Cricetulus griseus: one gene and its partner. The protein of the gene in region 2 purifies or fractionates together with the protein of the main gene of each other region. This does not show direct contact. Links are inferred from orthologs where the notes say so. Each region holds a gene or a part of one and is shown on either strand. Other genes may lie near its edges.

Region 1 (3,928 bases), on a different chromosome or scaffold from region 2:
TTCTCTAAGATGTGATCTTCCAGCTGTCAGAAAAACTGAAGTTGGCTCAACACAGAACCTCACACATTCCTTATTCTGCAGTTTGGTGTGAATGGACATGATGGTCTGACCAATGTAAACTCTGGCCACTGGGCCTAGGACATCTCAGAGAAACCTCCAAGTACTTGTCTAGAGCCTAGGGTGGAAATAGCATTGAGATAACACATGATTATCCACCTGAAAACTGTCTCCAAGGTCCCTTTGGGCAGCCTGCGCATTCAATAAGCTGCATATGCCACCAAGGAGGATAGTGTTTGCAACTATTGCACACTAGACCCCCATGGGGAAAGGAACCTGGTTGGCTTCATTGGCTGCAGAAGCAACTGATTTCTGAAGCACAAAGGGAAACCTCTGAACAACTTAGATGTTGCACATCACTAACTTAATTCTCTCACATATTACATCCCAACTGCAGTTTCCATTGCCCCTTCTCCTCCCAGCCCCTCTCCACTAATTTAACTCCTATGGTCCAAAACTTGTTGTGATCACTTACTGGTCAATTTTTAACTTTTTTATTTTTGTGAGACAAGGGTCTTTTATGTTGAACAGGCTAATTTTAAACACATCACCTTGAGTGGTCTGTCTCAGCCTCTGAAATAACTGGCACTACAGCTATGTATCACCACATGTTTTTATTTTACATATGAATTTCAACATATTTTTAAACAAAAGTTGACTCAAATATCCTTTTTAGATTTGTTATAGAAACAGGCCTAGAGGATCAATGTAACTAGATAGGAAAGTTATAAGACAATTGTAACTACAAGATACTGTAGTCTCCTTCACATACATATCCAATCTCAAGATCCTTCATGAATACAAAAAAGGAGGAAGACAAAATAAACAGGGAAGTTACATAAGATGACACCTAATAAAAGATAAAGAGATGCCACAGATGTTTTTGTGCTTCCAAAACAGAAATATAGAGCAGCTGATTAAAACAAATGTTTCAGCTCAGACTTCATAGCAAATATTGTAAGATAAAATGTTCAAAATTGGTGTGTGTGTATGTGTGTGTGTGTGTGTGTGTGTGTGTGTGTGTGTGTATCTCCATAATTTTATCTTAAGTACCTATATGTTCCTTCCACAAGACAATGAAGATGCTTAGTTTGTTAACTGATGCAAAATGTGAGGGGAAAGAGAAAATTACTGAAAAAATCCCAACCTTTAGCTTCCTTGCACACTCCTAAATGTCCTTGCTGTCTCTGGCCTGTGCAGATGCCCAGATACACTCCTCCCACCCCCAAATAATCATAATTTTATGTCCCGATAAGTACCAAGTTCATTAATGTGGCTTATAAGCAGGTTTTCATAATAGCATTCCTTTGCCTTTTCAGCTGTACATCTCTTTACCATTTCACACTTTCAACAGTCCTATTAGTTTTCACAGCACCCTGTGTCTATGACCATGCTTGCAACACTCTAATATTTGTTTTCCCCACGAGAAGCTAAAGACTATATTCCATTACAATAAGGATTATGTTAAACGTTCATTCTCACAGTTAAAAAATGTTCAGAGCCAGGCTTGGTGGCACACACCTTTAATCCCAACACTCCAGAGACAGAGGCTGATGAATCTCTAAGTTTGTGGCCAGCCAGGGATACAGTAAGACCCTGTCTCAAAACACAAAAACCAAGCCAGGCGGTGTGCTCGCCTTTAGTCCCAGCACTCAGGAGGTAGAGGCAGGTGGATATCTGTGAGTCTGGTCTACAAGACCTAGTTCCAGGTCAGCCTCCAAAGCCACAGAGAAACCTGGTCTGGAAAAACCAAAAAAAAAAAAAAAAAACCAAAACCAAAACCCAGCCCAGGTGGTGGTCTCCCACACCTTCAGACCTAGCAACTGGGAGGTGGATGTCAGTGTGTTCAAGACCAGCCTGTTCCAGGACAGCTAGGACTGTTACAGAGAAATCCTGTCTTGAGAAACCATTTTAAAAAAAACATTCAAACCTTAAAGATTTAAAAAACAAACAAACAAACAAGAAACTGACACCGAACTTTGAGAAATATTTAGCTTAGGATCTTCAGGACCTGAATTTGACAAAGGGATTTCAAAAACATTATCTTGGGCCAGGTGTGGTGGCATAGGCCTCTAATCCCATGAGATCCTGCCTCAAAAAAAAAAAAAATTATAAAAACAAAATAGTTGAATTTTGCCTTTGCAGTGTAGAAAGATTTTGTAATAGTACAGAAATTAAAGCCTAAAAAAAAAAGAAAAATAATTTTTGCAGATTCTCCACTCTTTAGCGCAAGCTGGCCTCAAACTCCAGACAGATCTCCTGCCTCAGGCTCCACTGGCCACACTTATTACGGAAACCTACTTAATTTTTCTTTTTAAAGAGGTGTGTGTGTGTGTGTGTAATTATGTACGCGGGCACGAGGTCACCTGGCCAGGGTTACAGACACAGTTGTGAACTTACAAAGTGGGTGCTGAAAACCATGCTCAAGCCTCTGCAGGAGCACTAAACGTCTCAAACGCTGACCGGGTCTCTCCAGCCCCGCATAACTTACATTTTAAAGCAAATAGCGGAGACAATTTTGGTAAGCCCGGCTTTGCTTCAGGCAGTGTATTACTTACAAAATCACAGCTTAACACACACGCTCCACAACCTGCATCCGGGAAAACCACGCAGGCCGAGGACACCGGCTGCGGGAAGCCCGTGGGCCAGGAATGCGGCCGAACGCGGGGACTCGCGAACTGGGCGAGGGCGCCTCCCCTGCACGCCTTACCGTGCGCCGCACATGCCGAAGCGGAGCCGGGGGTTTCCGCTGCGGCCGCCGGAAATCCGGCACCGCCGGAAGTCCCGCCTCGTCCTCTCGGCGCTGCCTCTGACGTTTGTCCCTGCCAGCGGTTTCCCAGCTTGAAGTCGGTCCGCGGTCTGCCAGTGAGCCCTTGTGAAAATGACCAAGGCCGGCGCTGGTCATCGGCGCCCCGTCACCCTACTTACTAATTAGTTGTTAGAACTCGAATCCCCTTAACCGGTCCTCAGCTCGGCTGCTGTGTTTGTATGTATGTCCTAACAAAGCGACCTGAGCGCAGATCCTGCAGTTCTACTTTAAAATTTAATTCTAGCCAAGTTTATCTTTAATCTCAGCACCAGGGAGGCAGAGGGATCGCTTAAGTTTGAGGCCAGCCTGATGTACACAGCTAGTTCCAGGACAGCCAGGGCTACACAGGGAGACCCTGTCTCAGTAAACCCCCCCAAAAAAAAAACAAAAACAAACAAAAAGATTGTTCAATAGCGTTTGAGACAAGAAGGAGACCCCACACACACACACACACACAGCGGGGGACTGCTTTCCAACACAGGCAGAAAACCAGCAAATGACCTTTGCTGGTGTAATCTTTACGAAGAGAGGAAAAAAAAAAAAAAAAGCCTGGCTTTGGTGGCAGCACTTGGGAGGCAGAGGCAGGTGGATCGCTGTGAGTTCAAGACCAGCCTGCTCTACAGAGTTCTAGGACAGGCTCCAAAGCTACACAGAGAAAAGCCTTGTCTCGAAAAAAATGAAAATCAAAACGAGAGAGAGAGAGAGAGAGAGAGAGAGAGAGATCCACCTGTCTTTGCCTCCGGAGTGCTGGGATGAAAGGCGTGGTCCACCAACGCCGGGCCAAAGGGGGTTTTGATTGCTGGACTTTAATACTTCCATAGCTGGACCTTGGTATTCAGCCTCAGGGGGAGGAAGTGGCCAGACAAGGAAATAGAGCTTGATGGCTATCTTTAGGAAGGTAATCTAATGGTTTTTTAGCAAGGCAGAGGGGATGGGAGAGAAGGGTAAGGCCTGCCAGAGCCATCCATGCTCACCATGCTCCATCTAGCCAGAGTCCCTTCCATATCAGTAACCACTGAAAGTAAAAATCAATAATTCATTGCTAGAGGAAAGGCAACATTT
Region 2 (4,191 bases):
TTGTAAGTTTGAGAGTTTATTAGGCACAGAGGGTGACTGGAGCAGAGTTACAAAATGGCTGTTCGGTTTCCTTCAAGCTGAAAAGAAGCTGGTGTTTTTCCTGCTGCCACCCTTCAAGGCTGCATTCGAATGGCCCCATCAAGCCGGATGACCTCTCCATTCAAGAATGGGTTCTCAATTATGGTCTGTACCATATGAGCGTATTCAGCAGGGTCACCTAGTCGGCTGGGGAAGGGCACCTGGCTGGCCAAGAAGTTCTGTACTTTCTCTGGAAGGGTGGTAAGCAGTGGGGTGGCAAACAAACCTAGACAAGAGCACCAGAATCAAAGGTTCAGTCTTGTTTTCATAGTTACCTGCTACTTCCTCACTTTAGTGCTAAGCTGCTGATACCTAGGTAGTGGGTATCTGCTCCCATCTGCCTACATATCCCACCCAATTCTAAGTATGGCAAAAAAAGAGAAAGAAATGTCTACCTGGAGCAATTGTCATCACACGGATGCCTAAGGGAGCCAGATCTCGAGCAATGGGCAGTGTCATGCCCACTATACCCCCTTTGGATGCAGAGTATGCAGCTTGTCCAACCTGGAAAAAGAGTGGAGATCATAGGTGGGAGAGCCCCCACAAGAACTTTGCAACCCCCAATCGATGGGCGTTGGTGTCACATGCCTTTAGTTCCAGCACTCAGGGGGCAGGGACAGGCAGATCTCTGTGAGTTCGAGGCCAGCCTGGTCTACAGAGTGAGTTCCAGGACAGCCTCCAAAGCTACACAGAGAAACTCTGTCTCAAAAAACAAACAAAAAAAACAAACAAACAAACAAAAAAAGAACTTTGCCCCATCCACATACCTGACCGTCAAAGGCAGCCACACTGGCAGTATTAATGATAACTCCACGTTGGCCTCCCTGGTCTGGTTCATTCTGGCCCATCTCACCAGCGACCAGGCGGATGACATTGAAAGTGCCTAAGAGATTCACCTAGAGGGTGGGTAGAACCACGATGTAGGATGTAAGGCCTTTTGTTTGCTTAAAAGCTGAGTGCCTACAGCCAGACATTTTTTATTCCTACCCCTGGAGATCTGCCAAGGCCTTACATTGAGAACCCGCTGGAAGTCCTCCAAGGTATGGGCCTGGTTCCTCTTTTGGTTGTATGTCTTAATTGCCACTGCAATACCTGCACAGTTGACAGCCACATCTACGCGGCCAAACTTTTCTTTTGCTAGAGTCAAAGCTGCTTGTACATCCTTCTCAGAGGTCACCTTGAAAGGGAGAAATGAAGGGAAGGTATTCATTTCCTGGCATACACAGAGCACTAAACTTAGAGAGTAGGGAAGCCCAGTCTTTGAATGGGAACAGAATTGAATAGGAACAGAACTGTGTGAGCAAAAGAAAGCCAAGAGAGAGTTGTGATAAAAACAAGTGAAAGGAAAAATGGTAGGAACTATAGAAAAGTATTGCAAAGCATTTTTCAAATTTATACTCTCTTTGGAGTGATAAGCCCCTGGTAATTCTCAGCTGCTATGAATTGGGGCACTATACAAACTTGTTTTGCTTTTTCTCTTTTGCAGAATTGACAAACTGAGGGTCTCCCACATGCTAGGCAAGAACTGTACCACTAAGCTATATTCCAATACAACCCTGTTTGCAGAATTACTCCCAGGAACATGATCTTTTTTTTTTTAAACCCCTTCCTGCTGAGTTCAGGTTTTTCAACTCTGTAAACTCTGTAAATATAAAATCACTGGGCAAGATAGGCATTTCCAACAGTTCATATCTCCTCCAGGAAATCCTGGTGTGTCCAGTCCTCATGCCCATTATGCTGAGCCCCGGTGTTAGAATTCTTACTGCAGGTGATGTTATGTGCTCAGGGACTCAGGTCAAAAGATGAAGAGAGATGGACTCACCACCCTTACATTTATTTGTATGCATGTGCAGGCATGTTTGCGCCAGAGCACATGTGTGGAGGTCAGAGTCTGTTCTTTCCTTATACCATGTGGGTCCTGGGGATCAAACTCAGGTTGTTATGGATGGCAGCAAGTGCTTTTACCGGCTAAACCATCTGACTGAACCCAGGCAGTAATTAGGAGCAACCCTCCCCCCTCCAAGTTTCCTCATGCACACTCCGGTAAAGTCCTGACTCACGTTGGCTGGGGCAAACAAGCAGCTCTCTCCTAACTTCTTGGCTTGGGCCTCACCCCCCGAGTTAGGTAGGTCCAGAAGCACAGCTGTGGCCCCTTGTCCCACCAGTCTTTCGGCCGTAGCCAGGCCAAGGCCCGAAGCTCCTCCAGTTATTACTGCGACCAGGCCCTGTGAAGAGGTACACGTGAAACGAACTGCTAATGTCCAAACCACCCCCACCCTTTCACCTGCCAGTTCCTGAATTCTGCGAAGAAGCAGGGGCAGTCAGTGACTCCAGTGTGCTTCCTCTCCACACCGCTGACGCGGCGGGGGAGGGGGTGTGTGTCTCATCCCACGCGAGTTTCTCTGTGACCCCTCACACACATGCAGTTGGACGTTCACCTATTGAGCCCAACCACCACAAACCCAGGCCCGGATAAGCAGGACCCTTTCCTTCAGGCACCGATCTCTCCTCTCTAGTTCATGCCAGCGCAGTCCTAACCTAGCCTGCGTAAAAACAAACGTTAGAGGCACAGAGCAGTCTACCTTCACGCTCCGACACGCCGCAGCCATCTTGCACCGGTCTCGCCACCAGAGGAGGGCTTTTACTTAGTCCCTCTTGCACATGCGCTCGCTGATTGGCCGGCATAGAGACGCCTACTGGGGCGGGGAGCAGCGGCTGCGCACGGTAGGGGGGAGGGGAGGGGCGTAGCCTGCTGCGCAGGGACCTTGGAAAGGGGAAAGGCGAGGACTCAGACTAGGGAACGTTTTATTTGTAAAAACAACCTGGTGGCACCTGCATGGTATCACCACCCCTTCACCCCGCTCTCTAGCTAACCATTTGGCATGCAGCCACCTCCACCAGAGGACGCCAGAAACTGAGTCCCTTTCTCAGTAAAACTTTTCAAGTATAAGTGAAACCGATTCCTATCTGCGAGGTTCTACCGGGTACTGCGGATACACAGAAGAGGAGTAACAGGTCCATACTTCCCAGGAGGACACAGTTCATTTGGAGAAAGACGAAATTACAGGACAGACAACGAAAGGGGCAGAGAACCAGATTTTTTTTTTCAGTAATGGAAGCAAACTCCAAGGCCCTGTACCCGTTAAACAAGTACTCTACAAACAGCTACAAATAGCCCAACTGCAGGTTCCAGAATACTCAGCTGAGGAGAGTGAAAAAAAAAAGAAAGAAAAGAAAAAGAAGCTTCTGAGATACAGAGAAGCAGCAGCAACAGAGACAAATATGTCTAGGCAAGGAGAGAGGTCAGACAGGATCACACTTGATTCTTGTGGGTGGAGGGGATAACAAAACAGGTATTCCAGGGCATCTTTCATCACCTCAGCCTTTACTATGTTCCTGTGTTCGATGCCTAGATGGAACACTAGATTGGACCTCATCCACAGCCTGTTGTTAAAAACTCAGGTCTCTGGTCATTCTAAAAGAGCTTTCACTAGTATCTAAATTAGAATCTTTAGGATGGACATCTAATCTGTCTTCCATCTATGTTTTTCCTCAACCCAAAGTCTTCAGGCCCACCAATCTCAGCCTACACTTTCTGACTGTAATTGCATTATGTTTTTTTTCTATGTTAAGTATTCTCCAATGGACTTCCCTCAAGGACTCCTAGTTGTTGACAGCCAGCATACCTGTATTGATTTTCACTACTTTATCAAAGGATTTAGCACCAGATTAACAATCTTTATTTTATTTTATTTTTGGTTTTTTGAGATAGGGTTTCTCTGTGTAGCTTTTGGAGCCTGTCCTGGAACTCGTTCTGTAGACCAGGCTGGCTTCGAACTCACAGAGATTCACCTGCCTCTGCCCCTAAGTGCTGAGGTGAAGGCGGGGTTTAAATGACTCCACCAGACCCAAGATAGATGATAATTAGGTATTTATTAGGGAAGCACTTACACAGATAAGAGTAAATAACCACCGCCATCTTCCTGCTCCAGAAGATGCAGTCTCCTTATGTTCTCCATAACCAAGACAGCTCGGGCCAGCCCCTCCTCTATCTTATAATGAGTAACATCTACACCTGAAACCACGCCCAAAGGTTGTGGCCACTATGTGTGG

The links. Proteins that work in one complex are often made in the same cells at the same time.
Region 1: the proteins of Hsd17b10 (region 2) and Trmt10c purify together in Homo sapiens (co-immunoprecipitation; 3 studies listed by BioGRID and IntAct, counting the BioPlex papers as one, with this or other methods). This does not show direct contact. The link is inferred for Cricetulus griseus from reciprocal best matches to the Homo sapiens genes HSD17B10 and TRMT10C.

Annotation. Positions count from the first base shown.
Region 1 is NC_048597.1:36,042,973-36,046,900, reverse strand, and holds the start of Trmt10c (tRNA methyltransferase 10 homolog C), read right to left. Parts: upstream 2,801-3,928; 5' UTR 2,616-2,800; intron 357-2,615; exon of another isoform or gene 222-356; intron 1-221. UniProt on the Homo sapiens protein: Mitochondrial tRNA N(1)-methyltransferase involved in mitochondrial tRNA maturation. Component of mitochondrial ribonuclease P, a complex composed of TRMT10C/MRPP1, HSD17B10/MRPP2 and PRORP/MRPP3, which cleaves tRNA molecules in their 5'-ends.
Region 2 is NC_048604.1:107,497,221-107,501,411, forward strand, and holds the start of Hsd17b10 (3-hydroxyacyl-CoA dehydrogenase type-2), read right to left. Parts: upstream 2,801-4,191; 5' UTR 2,688-2,800; coding exon 2,661-2,687; intron 2,304-2,660; coding exon 2,139-2,303; intron 1,256-2,138; coding exon 1,091-1,255; intron 975-1,090; coding exon 846-974; intron 583-845; coding exon 474-582; intron 305-473; coding exon 114-304; 3' UTR 1-113. UniProt on the Homo sapiens protein: Mitochondrial dehydrogenase involved in pathways of fatty acid, branched-chain amino acid and steroid metabolism. Acts as (S)-3-hydroxyacyl-CoA dehydrogenase in mitochondrial fatty acid beta-oxidation, a major degradation pathway of fatty acids.